Linked DNA regions of Lonchura striata. The protein of the gene in region 2 purifies or fractionates together with the protein of the main gene of each other region. This does not show direct contact. Links are inferred from orthologs where the notes say so. Each region holds a gene or a part of one and is shown on either strand. Other genes may lie near its edges.

Region 1 (7,753 bases), on a different chromosome or scaffold from region 2:
AGGACCTGCGCTCTGTGGGCCGAGCCCCAGAGCTGTTGGCCCGGCTTTGTGTGGAAAAGGGATCCCAGCCAGGGAGTGACCCAGGCTCGAGCCTGGCGTGCACGGGGAAGGCTGCTGGGCCACGTGCGTGCCGTGTGCCCAGCTGTGCGTGCCCGGGTGTCTCTGCAGGCAGCAGGACCTGTTCCGGGTGCTGAAGGCGTACACGCTGTACCGCCCGGAGGAGGGGTACTGCCAGGCCCAGGCGCCCATCGCCGCCGTCCTGCTCATGCACATGCCGGCCGAGGTACGGGCACGTGGCTCAGGGGACAGCTGGCACCTCCTGGAGCGTTGTGGGGCCCTTTGGGGGGTGCTGATGAGTGGGGTGCCCGGCTCAGGGCAACCCAAAGGGCTCCAGGGGTGCTCTGCTGCTTGCCACCCTCTCCCGTGGTTCCTGGGAGCAGGGAGTGGGCCACAGGGATGTCCTCTGAGTGCTCACCTGCTGTCCTTGGCTTGCAGCAAGCGTTCTGGTGCTTGGTGCAGATCTGTGAGAAGTACCTCCCTGGCTACTACAGCGAGAAACTGGTAAGTAAAGAGCTCATGGTGCTTTCAGCAGTGGCAGGGACCTGCAGGGTGCTGCATCTGGGTTGGGGCAGCCCCTAGCATCAGTCTGGGCTGGGGATGAAGGGATCAGGAGCAGCCTTGGGGAGAAGGACACAGGAGTGCTGGTTGGTGAGGGTTGACCACACCCTGGCCATGTGTCCTGGGCTGAACCCCCAGTGTGGGCAGCAGGGGAGGGAGGATTCTGCCTCTCTGCCCTGCCCAGGTGAGGCCCCACCTGCAGAGCTGCCCCAGCCCTGGGGCCCAGAACAGGAAAGACCTGGAGCTGCTGGAGAGAGTTCCAGAGGAATCCATGGAGCTGCTCTGAGGGCTGGAGGTCCTCTGCTCTGGAGCCAGGCTGGGAGAGCTGGGGGTGCTCACCTGGAGAGGAGAAGGCTCCAGGGAGAGCTCAGAGCCCTTGCAGGGCCTAAAGGGGCTCCAGGAGAGCTGGAGAGGGACTGGGGACAAGGGATGGAGGGACAGGACACAGGGAATGGCTTCCTACTGCCAGAGGGCAGGGATGGATGGGAATAAATTCCTCCCTGGGAGGGTGGGCAGGCCCTGGCACAGGGTGCCCAGAGCAGCTGTGGCCACCCTATCCCTGGAAGAGTTCCAGGCCAGGTTAAACAGGGCTTGGAGCAACCTGGGATAGTGGAAGCTACCACAGGGCATTTGGATGGAATGAGATGAGTTTTAAGGTCCCTTCCAACCCAAACCATTCCACAATTCTGAATCTCCAGGCCAAAGACTTGTCCAGCTCCTCACCCTGGGGAAAGAAGGGGTCTGAGGAGGGGCTGGGTATTCCCACAGTCTCCCTGTTGTGATGTGGCTCCCAGAAGCATTCAGGGATGGGGGTCTCAGTGTAGCATCCGTGGGACACAGCTCTGCTCACATCAGGTGTAGAGGGTTGGCTGCCCTTGCTGGGACCTGGCCCTGGGGGCTGATCCCAGGGCTGGGGTATTCACTGGGATGCTGGTCCCTGTCCCTGCAGGAGGCCATCCAGCTGGACGGACAGATCCTCTTCTCACTGCTGCACAAGGTCTCCCCTGTGGCCTACAAGCACCTGAGCAAGCAGAAGATCGACCCCATCCTGTACATGACGGAGTGGTTCATGTGCGCCTTCTCCCGCACGCTGCCCTGGAGCTCCGTCCTGCGCGTCTGGGACATGTTCTTCTGTGAAGGTAGGAGCTCCCCACCATCCTCCTCCTCCTCACGGGGTGACTGCACTCCCCACGGCCATGGGACCTGTAGCAGGGCAGGTTTGGGGCAGCCACAGCCACCAGTGGAAGTGGGCAGTTTTCCTGGGGGTTAGGAGGCATGTGCATTCCAAATTCACCCTCTTGCATGTCCTGACCGTTAGTGGGACTGGGATGTGCTGTCCCACAGCATTTGAGGGACACGGTGGCAGTGTCACCCTGTCCTACCTGGTACTCACTGCGTCTCGTCTCCTCTTGCAGGAGTGAAGATCATCTTCCGGGTGGGCCTGGTGCTACTCAAACACACCCTGGGCTCCTCGGACAAGCTCAAATCCTGCCAGGGCCAGTATGAGACCATGGAGAGGCTGAGGGCCCTCAGCCCCAAAATCATGCAGGAGGCCTTCCTGGTGCAGGAGGTGAGGTGCTGGGGACGGCCTGGGGGCCCAGTGCTGCCAGACTGGGCTGTCCCTGGGTGGGCGGAGCATGGGAAGCAGCCCCCAAAAAGCTTCCTTAGCAGTGCCCTGAGGGGGATCCCACACCCAGCCCCGGTGGCACTGTCGCTGATGGAGCAAGTGTCCCCACAGGTCATCGAGCTGCCGGTGACGGAGCGTCAGATCGAGCGGGAGCACCTGATCCAGCTGAAGAAGTGGCGGGAGACGCACGGAGAGCTGCAGTGCAAGTCCCCCCCGCGCCTGCACGGCGCCAAGGCCATCAGCGAGGCGGAGCCCGCGCCGCGCAAGGCTCTGGAGCCCGTCCCCTCCATCATCGTTTCCCCCGGGCCGGCCCCCGTGCCCAAGGCCCGCAAGAGCAAGGAGAAGAGCCGGGAAAAGGGCCCGGCCAGTCCTGCCAACGGCCCCGGGGCCGAGGGCAACGGGGCGCCCGGCACGACCCGGGAGCTGCTGCACCCGCAGGTCTCCCCCCACCACCAGTCCAAGGAGAGCCTGAGCTCCCGGGAGAGCGAGGACACGTACTTGTAGGGCCCGGCCCACACCCCGGGCAGCCGGGCTCAGCGGGGCTGCGCACGGACCCGGGCGCGAGGACACCCAGGGGGACCCCTGGCACCCGGCGCTGGGGGCTCTGAGCTGGAGGGATGGGACAGGGGGGCTGTGCGGCTCCGGGAGAACAGCGTGGCCCTCTCGGGGCATCCGTGGAGCTTGGCCAGGTGTGGTGACCAAAGGGGACACCGTGGGTCTGCGCTGGGTGCCCACCCCGCAGGGTGCTGGCACCACGAGCGGTGGGAGCCCGGGCAGGGGGTGGCTGAGCCACCCGAGCTCCCTCCCCACGCTGGGGGGCTGGGCTGCCCCTTGGGCCCCTCTCCCCGTCCCAGAGCCCCTCGACCCATCACCCCCCGGGTCCCTCCTGTAGCCCCCACCCTGCGCCAGCCGGGCAGCCCCAGCCCCAGTTCCTGAGCACTTAGGCCTGGCGCAGGGCACTGGGGGTACACGAGGAGCCCTGGGACCCCTCGCCCCCCTCTTATCTAGTGAGGATATATCAAGCTGTAGCCCTATATGTAGTACCCAACTTACCTACTCACTGAGCCTATTTATTATTCCTCTGAGGCAGGACAGGGACCGAGGCAGGATGTGCTAGAGGCGGCGGGATTTGTTGCCGAGTTTTGGGGCTGAAGGCCCCCCATCCCATCCCCTCCCATCCCCAAGTTCCCCACAGCTCAGGGGGAGTGTTTACCCTGCCAGGGCTCACCCCACCACTGCCACCCCCCCCCAGGCCCCAGCGCAGGTGAGACGGGGTGGGTGAGCAGCAGCCAGGTGCCCCCTGGTTGTGGGGTCCCCTCTGCCCCCCCCGCCCTCCCCGAGGGTGGGTGGTGGGTTTGTAAAATAAAGCGGGAAAAGCAGTTTTGTACAAAGGGGTCAATAAAGCGAGTGTGTAAAGGCGCAGCCCCGGCTCCCACCTCTCTTGGCCTGGGATGGGGCTGGAGGGTGGCAGGAGGCAAGGGTGTCACCTCCCCTTTGCTGCACCAGTACCAGCTTTGGGGGTACCCTGACCTGGACCCTGCCCATGGTTCTCTATCCCTGGGGGCACCCTCCCCTGCATCCCATTCGCACTGGACACTGACCCTGGCATGCACCCTTCCCTGGGTCCCTTCTCTCCTGGCTGCCCTTGTCCTGGGGGCAGGTGCTGGGCAGTGACCTGGGAAGGGCCACGCTGCTGTCACTGCTCTGTCACCGCAGAAGATGGCCCAGCCCTGCTGTCTCACCAGCCTTGTGGCTGCCCCTTTGAAGTGGAATGGGAGGAGACTGAGACCTGCCCCAGCTTGTGAGAGTGGTGGCTGCCAGGCTCTGGTGCACTCCCACCCCAGCACCCAGGCCTTTCCCCTTTTCCCACTGTCACAGCTCCTGTGGCTGAACAGAGCCAGGGGACCCCAAACTAATCCCATGACACCCCAGAGCTCAGCTTCCCATCCCAAAATAGTGCCCAGGCCATCTCTCTCTTTCTTCCTGCAGGCAAGAATTCTGCCCAAACCTCCATTCCTCCCTCCACAAACCCCTTTTTCCCAGGGTGGACCTGGTTTGGTGAATCCCCTCTCCAGACCTGGCGTTGGGGCTGAGCATGTGGGACCCGGTTGGGTGCTGTGGCTGGGGGTAGAGTGGGGTTGGCAGTGGCTCCCAGAGGGTCTCCCTTGGTTGGGCATGCCGGGCTGTTGAATTGAAGGTGGTTTGGGCCCCCAGGGCTGCATTTCGGGGGTACTCTGGGACTCTGAGTTGGAGCTGCTCCAGGCATCCTGGGGCGCTGAATTTGGGCTGGTTTGGGCACCACGGAGTTCTGCACTGGGGCTGGTTCCGAGGCTCCGGTGGGGCTATCCCGGGTGTCCAGTGCGGGCATCCCGGTGGCCCGGGTCGTTGCCTTTCTGGCGGTGCGGGGCGGTGCGGGGCGGTGCCGGGTCGCGTCCCGAAGCGATGGGGGCGGTCCTGGCGCCAGGCGGGCGGTCACAGGGCGGTCCCAGAGAGAAGCGGAGCGTTCCCGGATGGGTCCCCGGGCGGTGAGGGCGGTCACAGGGCGTTGCCGAACCGAGGCGGGGCGGTTCCGGGGCGATGCGGGGCGGTCCCGGGCCGGTCCCGGGGCGGTCCCGTGTCCGCCCTTATAGTGGCGGCGGCGGCGCTTCCCGGGGCGGCGCGGCCGCCATGGACCTGCACATCCTGGAGCACCGGGTGCGGGTGCTGAGCCTGGCCCGCCGCGGGCTCTGGCTCTACACCCACCCGCTGCTCAAGCTGCTCTTCCTGCCCCAGCGCTGCCGGTACCGGCTGTCCTCCCCCCGCCACCACCCTCCTCCTCCTCTTCCTGCTCTTCTTTCCCCGACTCCCGGCCCCGGGAGACGGCGGCGGTTTTGAGGTCAGCAGCACCGATTTCTTCTGCTTCAGATGCAAGTTCTTCAGCCTGACGGAGACCCCCGAGGACTACACGGTCATGCTGGACGAGGAGGGCTTCAAAGGTACCGAGTGGTGGGTCCCTGGCAGGGCGGGCTGGCACCGCCGGCGCGGGCTGTGCGCGTCCCCAGCCCGGCTCTGCGCCTGGGCCGCGGGGAGCGAGTCCCGGCTTGTGCTTGGCTCCCTCGGAGCGTGCCCGTCCTGCCCCAGGCGCCTGTGCCGGGGATGTGCCGGCTTGCCCGGCCGGGGCTCTCCCGGCGTGGCTGCCCTGCTCCGCCAGCCCCTCCCGGGCAGCGCTGCCACCGGGCTGCGGTGCCGGCCCGGAGCCCGGGCGCTCCGGCAGGGCGCAGGCTCCTCCCGGGATGCCCGCGGGCGGCGCTCCCGGCTCTGGCAGCCTGTCATCGTTCCCGTGTCCAGTTTCATCCCGCCCCTGCTCCCGGTGAGGGCCAGCTGCAGCTTTGGCAGAGCAGGGCAAAGCACAGGCGCGGCCAGGCTGGCAGGGGTGAGTCCTGTCCGGCAGCAGGGTCCAGCTTTTGGGGTGAGGTTGGATCCCTTCCAAGCCAGTCCCTCTCCCGGGGAGGTGCCACTTGGTGACGTCCCCACATGGCCCGGCACGTGCGGTGTGTCACCCTCACCGCCAGCCCTGCCGGGCCACCGGCCCGACGGGCTGAGCCAGAGGGTCCGGATCCCGCCCGCCTTCCCACGCCCAAACCTTCCTGCCGGGGCCGCCGCGGGTCCTTGGCCGTGACCCAGGGACAAGGTCAGCGCTCCGGCCACGGGCACTCGCGGCCAGGTGCCAGGCTCACCTCCGTGTGCTGTGGAGCGGGACCGTGTCCCGGGCTCTCCCCGCTCCCAGAGCCAGAGCCGTTCCCCACGTATTGTTGTATTTTGGGGCATGCAGACAAATATTCCTCAATCCCGAGGGGAGGGCGGGAAGTGCTGAACAATGGTCCTGCAAGCCTGCGGCCCCGCAGTGCCCCGTGAACCCCCCTTGGCTGCGGGCTGCCAGTGTCCCCCTGCTGCCGGGCTGGAAGGGGACCCCCAGCACAGGAGAGCTGCACCCCCTCTTCCCTTGGGATCAGGATTAAGCCCTGGGGTGGGTGACATAGGGACAGCGAGGCCCCCTTGCATTCAGCCTCGCCCAGGGTGGTGTTGAAAAGCGATTAAACACTGAGCTCTGGGACAGGTCCCCATGTCCCTGAGTCCCTGTCCCGCCCCGCTGTTCCCAGCACTGGGCCCTGGGCTGGAGCCGAGGCTGTTCTGGCGCTTCCTGCGCAGGAACAGGCGCTGGGAACAGCCGCCAAGGCTCCGGATCCGGCCCCGCTCCCGCCCTGCCCCGGCCCAGTTTGGGAGCGGAGTACAGAGCCTGTCCCCGGATGGGGGCCCCTCAGTGAGGGCTGGACCCTCCCCCGTGCAGCCTCCCCTCCACCACTGGCGTGGTGAGTCTGGGGTCTCAGCTGGGCTTGGGCACTGGCTGCCCACCCAAGGGCTGGGGGCTTGTGTGGTCTCCCATGGGAGCTGCTCCCACCTTTCCTGGATAGGAGGAGTGGACTGGAGACTCCTTGGGGCCCTGGCCCGTCCCTTGATGGGAAGGGGAGCCCAGAGAAGAGGGAGCAGCCTGACTGAGCCCTGGGTGCCCCAGCAGTGCCAGCCCCTCTCCTGGGCAGGAGGGTGGGAGGCAGGAGCAGCTGGTCTATGCCCACCCTGCCAACACCAGCAGATTTTTGGGAAGCAGCTGTGGCCCTCTGGCAGCCTGGGCTCTCTCCACCAGGCTGACACTAGGTGCTGGGACTCCCAGGACAGCAGGATGACCCTCTCCTTGTCCCCTCCAATGTCCTGTGTGCATCCCTGAACATCCCTGGTGGTGGGCGCTGGGCTGGAGGCTCCTGGGGGGCAGAGGATGAGCTGGGCAGCCCCACGGCCCTGGTGATGCTGGTTTGGGGGTGAAATGCCAACATCCCCATACACCCAGCCTGCGGTGCTGGCACAGGGAGGAGAGACACATCTTGGGGTTTGGGGGCCTGTAGCTTTGGCCCCCCTCGTCCCTACGGCCAAATCCCAGTGTGGAGCAGCTGAGCCCTGTCTGGTTCTTTCCACTGAGGATGGGGCTCAACTGCACCCCCAAACCAGTGTCCCCACACCTGGGGCTGATCCTGCCTTGGGGATCACCCATGGGACAGCGTGGCACGCAGTGCCTGAGCTGGCACTGGCTCTGTGTCGGGCTGTGCCTCAGTGTCCCCGGTCCCTCGCAGAGCTGCCGCCCTCGGAGTTCCTGCAGGTGGCAGATTCCACGTGGCTGGCGCTCAGCGTGGTCTCCAACGGGCGGGAGCCCCCCGGCTGCCAGGCCACCGGCGTCACCAAGATCGCGCGGTCGGTCATCGCGCCGCTGGCCGAGCACCACGTCTCGGTGCTGATGCTCTCCACGTACCAGACCGACTTCATCCTGGTGGGTGACGGGCACGGTGGCCCTGGCTGGCTGTCCAGGGGGAGGGGTGGCAGTGCAGCCCTGACCCCGCGCCCCGGGGCAGGTGCGGGAGCGGGACCTGCCCGTGGTGATCCACACGCTGGCCGGGGAGTTCGACATCTACAAGGAGGAGA
Region 2 (7,562 bases):
AGCAGAGAGCTCCTGTGAGCTCAGCAGGACTCAGCCCTGGCACCCTGACCCTGCATCCTTGCCCCAGCACCAGAATCCCCAGACCCGGTACCTGCTGCAGGCTCCCTGCCCTGGCTCCCCTCCCTGTCGCACAGCCCAGACCCAGCACCCAGCCCTGCACCCAAAATCCTGCCCCAGCATCCTGCTGCAACATCCCACATCCTGCTGAGGCTGCCCTCCCCAGCGCCCAGCTCCCTGCAGCCTGTCCCATCACAGGGCCAGCCTCAGCACCCCGCTTCAGGTTCCTGGCCCTGCCACCTGTTCCCTCCCCCAGCTTGGCAATGCTGAGCCCTGGTGCCGTGCTTGTCCCCGCTGTCCCCTGCTCATCCCCATCCCATCTTCTTTTCCAGGTGCAGGATTTTGGCCTGAAGCACCTCCTGGGCATGGGCAGCCTGCGCCTCCTCTCGCTGGCTGGTGAGACCCTGACCCTCTGCCGGGGACCAGAGACACCACAGGGCTGGGGAGGCACGGGGCATGGGGACAGACAGAGCCCTGGGGACAGCCTGGGGACAGCCAGCAGGCACCTGCACCCAGCCCAGCCTGTGGGGAGAGACGCGGGGCTGGGCTCTTGGGCTGCACTGTTTTTTGGGGTGGTGGTGTTTCGGAAGCTATGCTTTTGCAATTCAAGTTTTCTGGGGTGTTGGGTTTTGAGGAGCTAGGGGACACTGCTTTTTGGGATGCTTTAGTTTTATTTTTTTTAATACTGGTCCTTTGAGATGTTGGGTTTTTAGGCTGACCTTGGGGTGCAGGTGTTTCGGAGCACTATTCTTTAGCATGCTGGTTTTCTGGGTTGTAGTGGGTGCTAATTTTGATGGTCTTGGTATTTTGGGGTGCCGGTGCTTTAAGGTACTGGTTTTTGTGTGCATTTTTGTGTGTATTTTTGAGTGCTGCATTCTTTGGTTGCTGATCTTTTGAGTGATTTTTTTTGTACTGTTAGGGTTTTTGGGATACATTTTTTTAGCACGCTATTTTTTTGGGGGTCCTGTGTGCTGAGTTTTGAGGTGCTGGGATTTTGAGGTCCTGATCCTTTGGTCCTGTTTGGGGGGATTTTGGCGTTTTGGGATGTCGGTGCCTTTGAGATGCTATTTTTTGGATGCTGTTTTTTGGGGGCCACTGGTGTTCTGCGCTGACAGTGCGCCCTGTCCCCTTGCAGGCTGCCCCTTGCTGACCACCACGGGGCTGTCGGGGCTGGTGCAGCTGCAGGAGCTGGAGGAGCTGGAACTCACCAACTGCCCCGGGGCCACCCCGGAGCTCTTCAAGTACTTCTCCCAGCACCTCCCGTGCTGCATGGTGATCGAGTAGCGCCGGACCCGGCCCACCCCGGCCGCCATCGCCCACCCCATCTCCCTCTGGCTGCTGGGGGATTCGAGAGACGCCCCCGATTCCAACCGAGCCCGGACATCCCCCGCATCGACGCCCCCGAGGGGCGCGGGGCTCCGGGGGAAGATGGGGGCAGGCGTCGCCCCCGGCCGGAGCCCCCCGGCTGCCATGTAAATTCCCCCCCGCCGCCGCCGCCATCGCCCGCGCTCGTCCCGGTGTCCTGCCAATCCCTTCGGACAGACGAACGGACATCACGGAAGCCCAGAGTGGGAAGGCGACGCTGTGTGACCCCCCCACCCCGGCCGCATCCTGCTCCCCCCGCCCCGGTGCCGAGCGGGCACACGGCCCCGCCGCCAAGGATGCTCTGGGCACCGAGGATGCTCCCAGGGATGGGCCAGAGGAGGATGCTTATTTTTGGGTGGCGGCGGAGGCTGGATGGGTCCCCTCACGCCCCTGGAGCGGGTCACCGAGCTCACCCCCCCACCTCCCCGTGCTGCGTGTCCCCTCCAGCCCCCAGCCCCGCCTCTGGGGCGCTTTCTCCCGGTGAATAGGATGCCCCTCTCCGCCCGCCCGCCGCCCTCGCATGCTCGCTTGCTTCAGTCTCGTGCTACGGCAGGTTTCGGGGTACCCGGGGGGACGGTGACAAGTGACAGCCCCACTGAGCCCCTCCACGCGGCTTCGTCCCGGCCGGATCCTGCCCCGGGAGCCGGGCTCCCCTGGCGAGCATCCCCCGCCGCCCTGGGGACCCCACTGCACCCCGCGGGGCTCTGGGGGTGATGCCACCGCCGAGGAGCGACCCATCCGTCTGGGATGGGACATCCCGGGGGACCAGGGCCGGGTCTGAGCCACCGCGGCAGCGCAGAGAGACCACAGGAGGTGGCACCTAGGACCCACTGCCACCGCCACCGCTCTTCCAGCTGAAAAGCCATCGCCTCGATACCGGCGGAAAGCGGGGCACCGGGGGGACCCCTGGGCCGCGCCGAGACGGGACCGAGCCGGCGCGGGGCTGGGGTGCCCACGGGGACCCGGCGCGGGAGGGGCTCGGTGGCCCCCCGCGGCATTGCCCGCTGCCACGGCAGCCGGGGGAGGAGCGTGGGCATGGATATGGACACGGACACGGGCACGGACACGGGATGGGCACGGACACGGACACGGACACGCTTTCGGTTTGTTTTGCCTTTGTACCGGCCGGGAAGGAACTGCTGCACCAACTGCCGCCTCCGCTCCCTGCTTTGTCCGAAACGCCCCTTTCTGACCCCAAAATGGCGCAAAGTGGCCCTGGAAGGGGTTTTGGGGGTCCCCGGGGCTACGGGACAAGGTGGCACTGCTGGGGCCTGGAGCACCCTGGCACGGGGGTGGAGGGCTGCCTGCACCCCCAAACCCTGCAGTGTCCCTGGGCGCCGGGGCCAGGCAGGACAGCGGCACACAGAGGGTCCCCCCACCCCTGCAGGTGACAGCAGCAGTTTTGGGGTGCCATAGCCCTGCACAAGCCCCTGGTCCCGGTTATACTGACGGCACCCATACCCTCCCCTGCACCCCCCATGGCAGTGGCCCCCATACCCCCTGCACCCCTACTCCCCTGTGCACCCCTATATCCCTCCAGTGCATCTGTACACCACCAATGCACCCCACATCCTCTCGACACCCCCATTTCCCCCCCTGCAGCCTGACCCACAAGGCTCCCACAGATCCCTGACCCCCAGTTATCCCCTTGCTTCCCCAACCTCCATGCACCCACATCCTAATGCCCTGGATCCCCACATCTCCCTGGCACCCTCTCCAATGTGCCCCGAGCCCCCCAGTGCACCCACACACCCCTGTGCACCCCTGAAACACCCCAGCTCACCCTACACCCTCAATGCACCTCATATCCCCTCGGCACCCCCATTTCCCACCCTGATCCATAATGCACCCCACATCCCCCTAAACCCCATTTTCTCCTGCGCTCCCAGTCCCTCTGGGGTGCCTCTCTGCCATCCCCGTTCCCCCCGGATCCCTCATCTCCCGGACATTCCCACCCCTGGTAACACCCCGGAACCCCCTGGTACTCTCTCCTCCTGCCCCCCCCCCAGTCCCCAGTACAGCTCCTACCCCTCCCACTCCATCCCAGCGAACCCCCACTCCCAGTGACCCCCTCGGGGTCCCCCTGCACCCCGGCCCCCGCACTGCCCCGATCCCCGGGCTCGGTGCCCGCCCCGTCCCCCCGATCCCCGTTCTCCGTGCCCGCCCTGCCCCCCGATCCCCGGGCTCCGTGCCCCCCTGTCCCCCCGATCCCCGGGCTCGGTGCCCCCCTGTCCCCCCGATCCCCGGGCTCCTGCCCGCCCTGCCCCCCGATCCCCGGGCTCCGTGCCCCCCTGTCCCCCCGATCCCCGGGCTCGGTGCCCCCCTGTCCCCCCGATCCCCGGGCTCCGTGCCCCCCTGTCCCCCCGATCCCCGGGCTCGGTGCCCCCCTGTCCCCCCGATCCCCGGGCTCCGTGCCCCCCTGTCCCCCCGATCCCCGGGCTCGGTGCCCCCCTGCCCCCCGATCCCCGGGCTCGGTGCCCCCCTGCCCCCCGATCCCCGGGCTCGGTGCCCGCCCTGTTCCCCGATCCCCGGGCTCGGTGCCCGCCCTGTTCCCCGATCCCCGGGCTCCGTGCCCCCCTGCCCCCCGATCCCCGTTCTCCGTGCCCCCCTGCCCCCCCGATCCCCGGGCTCCGTGCCCCCCTGCCCCCCGATCCCCGTTCTCCGTGCCCCCCTGCCCCCCGATCCCCGGGATCCGTGCCCCCCTGCCCCCCGATCCCCGGGCTCCGTGCCCCCCCGTCCCCCCGATCCCCGGGCTCGGTGCCCCCCTGTCCCCCGAACCCCGGGCTCGGTGCCTCCCTGTCCCCCCGATCCCCGGGCTCCGTGCCCCCCTGTCCCCCGATCCCCGGTGTGGGGCGCGCGGGGGGCGGGGCCTCGCCTCTGGGCGGGGCCTCGCCTCTGGGCGGGGCCTCTCGGGCGGCACCGGGGGCGGGGCCTGATGGGCTCCGGTGCCGGAGGGGGCGTGGCCTGAGCCGGCGGGCGGGAGCAGGCGCGGTCGTGTCCCAGAGGGGCGGGGCTGAACGGCGAGAGCGACGGAGGGGGCGTGGTCAGGAGCAGGGGGCGGGCCCGGGCGGCGGGGGCCGGGGCGGGCTCCGCACCGGGAAAGGGGCGGGGCCTGGCGGCGGGGCGGGTCTATCGGCGGAAACGGGCGGGGCCTGGCGGGAGGGCGGCGGCGGCGGCGGGGCCTGCTCGGCCCGAGCGGCCGGCGGGGAACCGGCACCGGGTACGGCCTCAGCACCGGGTACGGCTCTGGGAGCGGCCCCGGGGCCGCGCACGGAGGGGGCAGCGGCAGGGGACTCTGTGTGGCGGGAGGGGGTTGTGAGGAGGCGCCGGCGGCTCTGAGGGGCGGGAAGGGGCCCTGAGGAGGATATAGGGCGGGAGAGGCTCTGAGGGAACCCTGAGTGGGCTCTGAAGGGCTGGAGGCGGCCCTGGAGGGGCTCTGGGTCAGGAGCGGGCCCTGCAGAGCGGGAGGTGAGGGGTCTGAGGGGTCCTGGGGGGCTGTGGGTCAGGAGAGCCCTGAGGGGTGGGAGTGTGGGATATGAGGGGCTGGGCTGGCTCAGGAGTAGGACGGGACCCTCAGGGTGCGCTCAAGGTGGGAAGGGGCCCTGAGGGGGTGGGAATGTGCGGTGTCTGTGGGACCTGGCAAGGGAGGGCAGTGCTGTGGCAGGAGCTCGGCCTGGCTCTGGAGGGCACAGCCCGTGATCCCTCCAGAAGCCTGGAGTAACCGCTGCCCCCAACTCTGCTAGGGAAGGACGGTCATCCCTTGGTTCTTGCAGGCTCTGGAGCTCCGAGTGCCCCACGGAGGTGACCGTGGCCTCACTTCACCCCACCTCGTGCTGTGGACGCTGCTCACTTCAGCCACAGTGCTGTACTTGACTTATATTGTCAGCAACAGTGAAACATCTCAGGGTGTGGCCAAGGAGGGAAGAAGGAACCCAGAGAAGGTTTTCAGGAACTCTCCGAGAGGGAGCCACAGAGGGTGGCAGGAGGAGAACCCAGAGTGGGGCCGTATCTCCCTCCCACAGGCAGCTCTGTGGCCTCTCACCTCCACACCCCATTGATGCAGCTGCACAAAGCCACGGTCGGAGCCACCAGGGCCCGGCAGGAGCCCAGCCTGTCCCTGCCCAGCTCTGGCTGAGCTGGAGCAGGCTGGCCGTGTGGGTGTGCAGGCAGCCTGCTGGAGAGGGGACAGCACCCCGAGGACAGCCATGGAGAAGATGGCCAGGGTCACCACTGCCCTGGGGGGCAACGCGCTGACCGGCCGCACCATGTTCTGCCACCTGGACGCCCCTGCCAACGCCATCAGCGTGTGCCGGGACGCCGCCCAGGTGGTGGTGGCCGGCCGCAACATCTTCAAGATCTACTCCATCGAGGAGGAACAGTTTGTGGAGAAGCTGAACCTCCGCGTGGGCCGCAAACCCTCCCTGAACTTCAGCTGTGCCGACGTGGTGTGGCACCAGATGGACGAGAACCTGCTGGCCACCGCCGCCACCAACGGCGTGGTGGTCACCTGGAACCTGGGCAAGCCGTCCCGCAACAAGCAGGACCAGCTGTTCACGGAGCACAAGCGCACTGTCAACAAGGTGTGCTTCCACCCCACCGAGGTGTACATGCTGCTCAGCGGCTCCCAGGACGGCTACATGAAGTGCTTCGACCTGCGCAAGAAGGACTCTGTCAGCACCTTCTCTGGTACTAACGTGGCTCTTGTCCTGTTTCCCTGTGGGGAAGCACATTTTGGGAGCTTTGTCCTTTCATTGCTTGTCCCTTCACCCTTAGGAGAGGCAGGGGTGAGGGGCTTTGTCCTTCCCTGTGCCCAGGAGGAGGGTTTGCTCAGGGGCTGATGCCCAGGGCAGGGAAAGAAGGAGCTGAGAGGCATTTTGGTGCCTTTCCTTGCCTCTCAGTGCTAGCTGGGTCTGTGTGTGAGATGGAAGACAGTCACAGCACTCCCTGCTACCTTCTCTCTGTGCCACAGCTCTTCCAGTGGGATTTTTAGCATTGCTGGAGCTCCTAACTTGTGTCCCCTCCCAGGGCAGTCAGAGAGTGTGCGTGATGTCCAGTTCAGCATCCGGGACTATTTCACCTTTGCCGCCACCTTCGAGAACGGCAACGTGCAGCTGTGGGACATCCGCCGGCCCGACCGCTACGAGAGGATGTTCACAGCCCACAACGGGCCCGTCTTCTGCTGCGACTGGCACCCAGAGGACAGGTGAGAGTGGGGCCGGGCCCTGCCAGCCACCCAAACTTGCAGGACAAGAGAGACCCTAAAAACAGGATTGGGATTTTGTGGGGGAAAGCATGGTCTGTGATACCCTGTCCCCTTGTGTCAGGAGCTGGGATGTTGCTGGGAGATAGGAGTGATTGTTACTTGGAGCATTTGGGGTGGTGTAAGGGTGTTTGAGGTTTGGTTTTTGATAAATAAGGGGATTTTGTGGCACTGGGTGTCTTATGGTTGTGTAGAGCAGTGTCACAGTGGCCTCTCGCTCCAGTGTTCAGGTTGAGGAAGGCACAACTTGGCTGCTCTGGGACACAGCTCGCTTGTGTTCAGTCATGTTTCCCTCCACCCTTTCCTGGGAGTTTGCTGAGAAGGATCTAAAAGGAGCTGTTACAGTGTGCATGTCCCTCCTCACTCCCTGCCAGGCAGTGCTGCCACTGCTCGTGATCTTGGAGAGCACTGAAATATGTTCAGGATGGGCGTTTTCCTCTCTGCTGTGCCTGGCCAGTGGAAAGCAGAGCCAGAGGCAACTGGTCTGACTGGGATGTGGCTCTAGAGGTGCAGGGCTGTAACTGGGAGCGGGCAGGAGAGTGCTGCCTGGCCTGGTTGCTGCAGAGCAGAGGTGCCAGGGGAGCTCACGGGAGGATGGCATTGCAGCCCAGCCACCCTCCTGCGGCGTGCATGTGCTCACACCTGTGCTGTGAGCATTTCTGTGCCACGGTGGGGACAGAGAGGTGAACACTGATCCGTCCCTGTCCCAGGGGCTGGCTGGCCACAGGTGGCCGCGACAAGATGGTGAAGGTGTGGGACATGAACACGACGCGGGCCAAGGAGATCTACTGTGTGCAGACCATCGCCTCGGTGGCGCGGGTGAAGTGGCGCCCCGAGTGCAAGCACCACATCGCCACCTGCTCCATGATGGTGGACCACA
Region 3 (7,523 bases), on a different chromosome or scaffold from region 2:
ACCCAGGACCAGTGCACAGCTGTGGGCAGGCAATTCCTTTGCCTCCCACCAGCCCTGGGGCCCACACGGAGCAGAGGATCCCGTGGGTCCCAGGGATCCGTACCGGTCTTGCAGCAGATCTCGTCGTAGCTGTGGCAGCCCGTGTACAGCCGGGCTGGGTGGCTCCGCTCGTCCCGGGCCACCTTGACAGGGTATTTCTGGAGCCGCCGGATAAGGCCCTTCATCAAACCAAACTGGATAAGCCTCCTGCGGGTGAGGAGGAAAGAGACTGGGACCACAATGCTGAGGTGCCAAATGCCCCAGCTCCCCACATTCCCCTTCTGTTCCATGCGTCCTGCCACTGCCTCACACCTCCTACCCTACAGACACAGTACTTCCTGCTTGCTCTCTCTGCCATCCCCAGTGTCACCACTGCCCTCAGGGCTCTGACCTCTCATCCACCCTCTGGAGCTGCAGGGTGTAGCGGGAGATGAGGTCTCGCACGGTGGTGCCAGGGCTCAGCCCGCAGTACAGCTGGAAGACATCCCTGAGGCTGGCTCGCTTGTGCCCTGCGAGGACAAGTCACCATTCAGCTGCCCTGTCCCCCTGCCTGGGCCAGCATCCCCATGCTGGGTCACTGTACCTTGTTTGGTGACATAGGACAGACACTCTTCCTGGAGGCACTTGTCATCCACCAGGTCCTGCACCTTTGGTGTGGTGCAGTAGACATTGGAGTACTAGAGGGTGATGGAAAACCAGCTTGGCTCAGCTGCAGCTCTGAGAGACAGGCCTGGCCCACTCCAACCCCACTGCTCACCCTCCCCAGCCACTGCCCAAATCCTGCTCACAGCCCCACGCTCCCTGGCCCGACCCACCTGGAGTATGGAGACAAGCGTGACAACCCCGTAGTACCTGCAGACAGACAGGACAAGGTGAGAGGCGCTCTCTGGCAGCACCCACCCCTCCTCGGGCCATGCAGCCCCTCCAGGCACTCACAGCAGGTTCTGCACAGCGATGCGCACCAAGTTCAGCTCCACGTCAGCTTCTGCAGAGATCTTCTGGACGTGCCGAAAGCCATCGATGTAGGGCAGGATCTGGGAGGGGAGGAGGCAGAGAGCAGTGAGGCATCACTCTGAAGCCCAAGCAGCTCCCCTGCATCTGGGAGCAGCTGGGATAGGCAGGCTCCGTCCCCAGGTGCACTTTAACCCCGTGATGGTGAATGATTTGCTCACAGGCCCAAGCACAAAGCCAAGGGCAGCACCAAACCGTGCTCATAAACGTGGGGATCTCCAGGACAGCCTAACTCCTCCGATGGTCTGGAAATGGATCCCCTTCAAAGTGTCAAGCACACAGACCTGCTGCGTGGTGAGATCCCACTGGGAATTGAAGAAGTCATCCTTGTCCTGGGTGAAGACAGGGACATCGTACTCCTGCACAATGGGGGGGTCTGGACGCTGCTCAATCACCTTCAGGTGGATGGTGTTCGACTCATCTGTCCGGGAGAAGGGGAAGGCTCAATCTCCGTGCAAAACAGAGCTCTCTCAGGAGCTTGCAACCATCAATGCCAGGACACCACAATGTCACACAGAACAAGGTCCTTGCAGCCCATAACCCCATCCCACCCCTCCCTTGGAGCCAGGTAGGGCAAGGCTGGGTCGGACACCTCCAGCTCCAAGGAGACAGGTAGGGAGCTGCTGGGAGCAGCACAGGCAGAGCTGACCTGGGCAGGGAATGGCCCAGCTGTCTCCCAGCATAGCCCTGTCCTCACCGTACCTATGGGCAGGGTGCACTTCCCTTTGGCATTCAGCTCCTCCAGCAGGATGGTCATGATGGGAACCAGCTTCTGCTTACTCTCCTCGTTGGAGATGAATCCACTTTCCAGCTGAAGAGAGCAGAAAGTCAAGTCAGCTGTTCCCCACAGGATTGCTGGCTACAGGAGCCCAGATCCTGTACCCCTTTAAGACTGAAGTGATCTGCAGGAAACCAGCACAATCCCCTCCTCGCTGTAAAACCAGCCCCTGTCCCAGCAGTGCCCAGCGGCCCCCACCATGCTCCAGGATGCTGCTGAGGCGCCCACGCTCTGTGGGGTGGATCAGAGGCAGCCTGTACCTCCAGGGTGGTGAGATAGCCAGCCAGCTTCTTCACGATGGGCTCCAGCGCGCAGGCCTTGGCCCTGGCGTCGCACACGAAGCCCAGGTTGAAGAGCAGAGCGTTCCGGCTGTACTTCTTGTGCTCGATGCACACGGGGCAGCCGATCAGCTTCTTCTCCATGGCTGTCCTGTGGAGACACCTGTCACCTGCTCTGTGCCCTCAGGAAGCCTTGAGTCCCCCACGAGGCTGGCTCCCGGTCGGCTCTGCAGGTCAGGGCTTCTTTATATTGCAGGAAAAGTGATGCCTAAGCCCTACATGCTCAGAGTGCAAATCCCAGTCTGAAGGGAGAGGGGGGAGGAAAGAGCCAGCCCTCAGAAAAGGAAGCAGTGTCCTTTCGAAAGCAGCACAGCTCTCCTGACTGCTCTGATTTCCTGGATTCAAGGCTGGCGGCGCAGCAGCTGCAGCACCAGCCACCCCTAGATGAGACCCCCACCCTCCGCACGGGTACCGGGGTCACCGCAGTGACCGGCTGGGCCCGGGGCCGGGAGCCCGGCCGGGGCTCGCCCGCACTCACACGGTGATCAGCTTGTTCTGCAGCTCGGGCTTCGTGATGACGTACACCTGGATGGTGTCAAACAGCTCCCGGGAGATGAAGTCCTCGGGGACCTGCGGCGGCACAGAGCTCCCGTTCCAGCCGAGCCCGTCCGCCCCGGGGCGCGCCCGCCGCCCCAGTCCCTGCGCCCCCTTCCCCTCCACGGCCGCTGCCGCGGCCCCGTCTCAGTCCCCTGCCGCGGGCAGGCACTGCGGGCCCCGGGCCCTCGCCCCGCACCTGGTAGGTGATTTTGGGCCCCAGCGTGGGGTGGAACTCGCTGAAGAACACGCACTCGATGCGGCCGCCCATGGCGGGACGCGGAGCGGCCGAACCCGCCCGCAGCCCCGCCGGCCACCGTAGCGCCGCCCCCGCGGAGCCACAGGGCGCGCGGCGGGGCGGGCTCTCGCCTTGAGCGACAGCACTGCCCGCCACTCAGCGGCGGCGCGGCGCGGCGGGGCGGGCCTCGGCGCTGACGGACAGCCCGGCTCAGCCAATCGCAGCCCGCGCCGCGGCCCGGCCATGTCGGCAGCGGCGGTCCCGCCCGCCCGGCCAACATGGCCCTGACGGCCGAGAGCGAGTCCCGCCTGTACCGCTCGCTGCGCGTGGCCTCCGGCGCCGCCGCGCACCTCGTGGCGCTCGGCTTCCCCGCCGCCGTGGCCGTGCTGGCGCGGCCCGGATCCAGTGAGTGCCGCTGGGGCCGGGGCCCGGGGCGCGGGGAGGGCCGGATGTCTCAGCTCGCCTCACCTCACCTCACGCTGCGCTTCCCTTCCAGGTCTCTTCTCCTGGCACCCGCTGCTCATGGCGCTCGCGGTAAGTGCCGCTGCCCCGGGCACCGCCCTGCTGCCGTGGGGCAGGCAGGGCCGTGCTGAGCCCCGGGCGGTGGGAGCCGAGCCCCGGGAGCCCCCGGGTGAGGGGAGGCTGAGCCCCGGGCGGTGGGAGCCGAGCCCCGGGCGCCCCCGGGTGAGGGGAGGCTGAGCCCCGGGCGGTGGGAGCCGAGCCCCGGGCGGTGGGAGCCGAGCCCCGGGTGATGCGAGGCTGAGCCCCGGGTGATGCGAGGCTGAGCCCCGGGCGGTGGGAGCCGAGCCCCGGGTGACGGGAGGCTGAGCCCCGGGCGGTGGGAGCCGAGCCCGGCAGCCGCGGCGCAGGGGCGTTCGGCCGGTGCCAATGCCGCTGCCCTCTGCCCCCAGTTCTCGTTCCTGATGACGGAAGCGCTGCTGATCTTCTCCCCGGAGACCTCGCTGCTGCGCTCCTTCTCCCGCAAAGTCCGAGTGCGGGCGCACTGGGCCCTGCAGCTGCTCGCTCTGCTCTGCGCGCTCCTGGGGCTGGGAATCATCAGCTACAACAAGCACCTGAACGGCAAGGGCCACTTTGTCACCTGGCACGGGCTGACGGGGCTGCTGGCCGTGCTGTACACCGGCGGGCAGTGCGCCGGGGGCGTGCTCCTGCTCTACCCCAAGCTGATGAAGAACTGGACGCTGGCCAAGCTGAAGCTGTACCATGCAACCTCAGGGCTGGTGGGCTACCTGCTGGGCTGTGCCAGCCTGATGCTGGGCATGTGCTCCCTCTGGTTCACCACCACGGTGACTGGTGCCTCGTGGTACCTGGCCATGCTGTGTCCCCTCGTCACCAGCCTGGTTATCATGAACCAGGTGAGCAACGCATACTTGTACCGCAAGCGGAGCCAGCACTGAGGGCTTGGTGCTGACCTGAACTTCCCAGAGCAAGCTGGGTCTCCCCTTGGAGAGAGCTGGCAGTCCCCCTGCTTGCACAGGGCCTCTTTGAAACTTGGTTTCTACCTACTTGTCTTTCGTTAGTCCTGGATTGTCCGTAGTGTCCTGTCCCTGGGGAGCAGCCGCTCCAGATGTGTGTGACACCTCAGCCCTGCCTCGGTGGGGACGTTACCTGGCACAGGTGAAGCTGCTGGTCCCTGTGGCAGCTCGGTGCTCAGTGCTGGGAAATGGAGGGCTCACTCAGGATCTCTGCTCCTTTTCCCTTCCCACGCAGGGCTGCTTTGGAGCAGGCAGGACAGGAGCCATCCTGGTGAGGAGGGCAGGGGGTCCCTTCTCTCCCGGGAGGCTGCAGCAGGCACCATGCTGCCTCTCCTGCCACGGGGGCAGCTTGACAGGAAAGCACAGGGCACGGTTGTGGCTTCAGCCCTGGCAGGGCTGGGGCAGGGCGGTGGCACCCGCGTACGGTACAGCAGCATGTGTGTCCCCATGGCACGGGCAGTCCCTGGGATCAAAGCGTGCAGCTCTGCCCCAAGGCCCTGGGTCTGGACACCCACTGCCACGCACAAACCCCTCCTCCGTGGGCTGGGCTCGGCCTCGTGGGGTGGGGTCAGTTTACAGAGCAAATTACTGAGCCGGGCTGGAACATGCAGCCAGCAAGTCACAGGGAACAGCGTGAGCACGGGGAGGCACGGACCTGGGTGATGAACCCTTGGCAAGGCAGGAAGAAAACTCCATGCTGGCACAACAGCCTTCCTTCCAACACGCATCCTGCTCCTGGCAGGGCTGGAGAGCTGGGAGCGGCTCCCAGGCTGAAAAATTCCTCTGTATCCAGAGCTTTTATTCAATAAACATTTCAGGCAGCTAGAGTGCAACAAGCCCTCTGTCCTTTTTGGGTGAGATGACTTCTGGGGTGCAGGCAGACATCTCTCCCTGCTGTGAGCACCTGGGAAGAAGCCCCCTCCCCAGCCTCCTGTCAAGAGCCCCCAGGGGCTGCTCTGGGCCAGGTCCCCCACCCTGCCCATGCTCTGCTGCAGGAGCCAGTGCTTTCAAAGAACTCTTTATTAATACCCAAATGTCTGTGTTCTTCCCATTTGACAAAACCTTCTCGTGTGGTCCTTTAAAAAAATAATCATGACACTGCTGATCCACATCCCAGGCTGGGAGTTGCCCACTGGATCAGGAGCTGTGGAGGCTGTCGCAGGGAGCATCCTCTCCATCCAGGAAAAAAACTCCACTAACAAAGAGGGAGGGAAAAGAAAGGGGGAGCCCATATTCTACCTGCAGGAAAGAAAACCTGCTGCCAGAGGAAGCAGCTTGAGTCCCACTGTAAAATTAATTCCAGCTTCTAGTGTAATCTGGCAAACAGATTAGCCAGGGAGCAGCCAAGGGCAGCAGCTCCCCACAGGGGGAGGGGGCAGGAGAGGAAGGAGGAGAGAATCCTCACCATGCAAAGCCTGGAGCTGGCAGTGCTGGAGCACCACCATGAGGGGCTGGTGGCCTCTTCCTGCCCAGTGTCCTGCCCCCTCCTACCCAACAAACTTCTCACCCGGCCTGGTGAGCTCCTGCTGGGGCGGGGAGAGGCTCCCCAAGGGAAAGACATTTGTAAGAGAAACCCACCAGCCTTCCTATTGCCTCAGTTAGGGCCAAAACTACCTTCAGAAAGGAGAAAGTAAGTGTTGAGTGCTCTGGCAAAGCCCTGGCACAGAGGAGAAGCTGACTTCGATCCCTCGAGGGCCAGCACAGCGGCTTGGGGCAGGGATCAGCCCCGTGTCCCTGTCCCAGAACAGCTCCTGCTGTCTGCACGGCCTGCCTCGGCTGGGGGAGTGGCTCCAGGAATTCCTGTCCTCAGGGTGGTGGCAGTGTCACTGTCCGGGCGCCTGGTGCTGGCCGCGAGCAGCAGCGAAGCGTTGCAATGAGGTATCCCCCTGGCTGTGCCCGGGAGGAGTCCCCGCTCCCAGCGGGATTAGCAGCTCTCCAGCGGAGACAGGGCGGGAAGGGGCCGGTCACAGCTGAGCCGGGGCGTCCTGGAAGCTGATGAGGTTGGACTCCTGGCCAGGGCTCTTCCCGGCCGTGCTGGGGTCAGGCAGCAGAGGGCTGTCAGCCTTCGCTGCTGCTGCCGCCTCCTCCTCATCATCCTCCATGCTGGGCCAGGCTGATTGGTCCTCCACTCGCTTCAGCCGCTCGTTCAAAGCCTTCAGGGCCAGCTGCCTGCAGGACAAGGCACGTGGGCAGGTTAACCCTGGGTCACTGGCGCTGCCCCATGGGGCACTGTGCAACTCAGTCCCCGGCTTCTTCCCAGCAGGAAAGGGTGGGGTCAGTAGTGCTGGGGAAAACCTGGAGAGCCTGGGACTGCTCCACAGAAATCCACTCTGGCTCCCAGACTATTCACAAAGAGTTTTCATGCTACGTGGTACAGCCAGAGGCTGTCAGCACGAGAGCAGCTCCGGGAATGGGGAATAAAGGCATAAAGCAGAGCAGGGAAAAGGGAGTGCCAGCACCCTGTCCAAACCCTTCTGCCAGAAGTCAGGAAGGCCAGTGCTGGCTGTGCTGGAGGGCTGGGGTGTGGGGCTGACTCACTGCCCTGTCCTGGGCCAGGGTGAACTGGTGGAAGGCTGCCACCCCTAGGCTGCACCCCTTTCTTCTGCAGGGACCCCAACCTTGTCTGCCCCTTTCCCAGGATCTCCCCTGCCTTACTATTGCTCCTCCACATCTGGAAGAGCGGGATAATGTCCCACCAGCTCCCTGAAATGCTCCTCACCACCTCCATGGCAGACCACATGGAGAAGGCTCCTCCTCAGCCCCTGCACCTAAATCTCCCCCCTCTTCCTTGGCTGGATTTTAAACCATACCCTTTCTGTCCCCAGACACGATCCCTATGGGCAGGGAAGGCCAGGCAGGGCAGGGCAGGGGGTACCTTCTCCTCTCGGCGTCCTGGGGGTCTGTTCCTGGCAGGCTGATGGTGATGGAGGACGGGGCACCCACGTCGTAGCGCTTGACGGTCTTGCGGCACAAGCGCACCTTGACCAGCACGCTGTGCACCAGGTTGGCCACCAGACCCACCACGGGCTGCAGGATCTCGGGGAAGAAAGTGGCGAAGGCAAAGTGGTCGCTCATGTCTCCGCGGCCTCTAC

Evidence for each region.
Region 1: the proteins of WDR24 (region 2) and CASTOR1 purify together in Homo sapiens (affinity purification with mass spectrometry; 3 studies listed by BioGRID and IntAct, counting the BioPlex papers as one, with this or other methods). This does not show direct contact. The link is inferred for Lonchura striata from reciprocal best matches to the Homo sapiens genes WDR24 and CASTOR1.
Region 3: the proteins of WDR24 (region 2) and NPRL2 purify together in Homo sapiens (affinity purification with western blotting; 3 studies listed by BioGRID and IntAct, with this or other methods). This does not show direct contact. The link is inferred for Lonchura striata from reciprocal best matches to the Homo sapiens genes WDR24 and NPRL2.

Annotation. Positions count from the first base shown.
Region 1 is NC_134620.1:2,664,571-2,672,323, forward strand, and holds the start of CASTOR1 (cytosolic arginine sensor for mTORC1 subunit 1), read left to right. Parts: upstream 1-4,753; 5' UTR 4,754-4,822; coding exon 4,823-5,025; intron 5,026-5,149; coding exon 5,150-5,220; intron 5,221-7,407; coding exon 7,408-7,601; intron 7,602-7,683; coding exon 7,684-7,753. Other genes in the region: TBC1D10A (TBC1 domain family member 10A), read left to right, coding at 169-283, 496-561, 1,568-1,757, 2,034-2,188, 2,357-2,749. UniProt on the Homo sapiens protein: Functions as an intracellular arginine sensor within the amino acid-sensing branch of the TORC1 signaling pathway. As a homodimer or a heterodimer with CASTOR2, binds and inhibits the GATOR subcomplex GATOR2 and thereby mTORC1.
Region 2 is NC_134618.1:3,113,176-3,120,737, forward strand, and holds the start of WDR24 (GATOR2 complex protein WDR24), read left to right. Parts: upstream 1-4,562; 5' UTR 4,563-4,660; intron 4,661-5,195; 5' UTR 5,196-5,627; coding exon 5,628-6,108; intron 6,109-6,447; coding exon 6,448-6,625; intron 6,626-7,392; coding exon 7,393-7,562. Other genes in the region: FBXL16 (F-box/LRR-repeat protein 16), read left to right, coding at 390-453, 1,193-1,341. UniProt on the Homo sapiens protein: Catalytic component of the GATOR2 complex, a multiprotein complex that acts as an activator of the amino acid-sensing branch of the mTORC1 signaling pathway. The GATOR2 complex indirectly activates mTORC1 through the inhibition of the GATOR1 subcomplex.
Region 3 is NC_134614.1:8,469,837-8,477,359, reverse strand, and holds the start of NPRL2 (GATOR1 complex protein NPRL2), read right to left. Parts: upstream 3,001-7,523; 5' UTR 2,972-3,000; coding exon 2,900-2,971; intron 2,737-2,899; coding exon 2,645-2,736; intron 2,258-2,644; coding exon 2,089-2,257; intron 1,862-2,088; coding exon 1,753-1,861; intron 1,472-1,752; coding exon 1,335-1,471; intron 1,074-1,334; coding exon 976-1,073; intron 892-975; coding exon 855-891; intron 717-854; coding exon 623-716; intron 549-622; coding exon 431-548; intron 247-430; coding exon 1-246. Other genes in the region: transmembrane reductase CYB561D2, read left to right, coding at 3,217-3,343, 3,435-3,472, 3,850-4,353; TMEM115 (transmembrane protein 115), read right to left, coding at 6,396-6,600, 7,307-7,523. UniProt on the Homo sapiens protein: Catalytic component of the GATOR1 complex, a multiprotein complex that functions as an inhibitor of the amino acid-sensing branch of the mTORC1 pathway.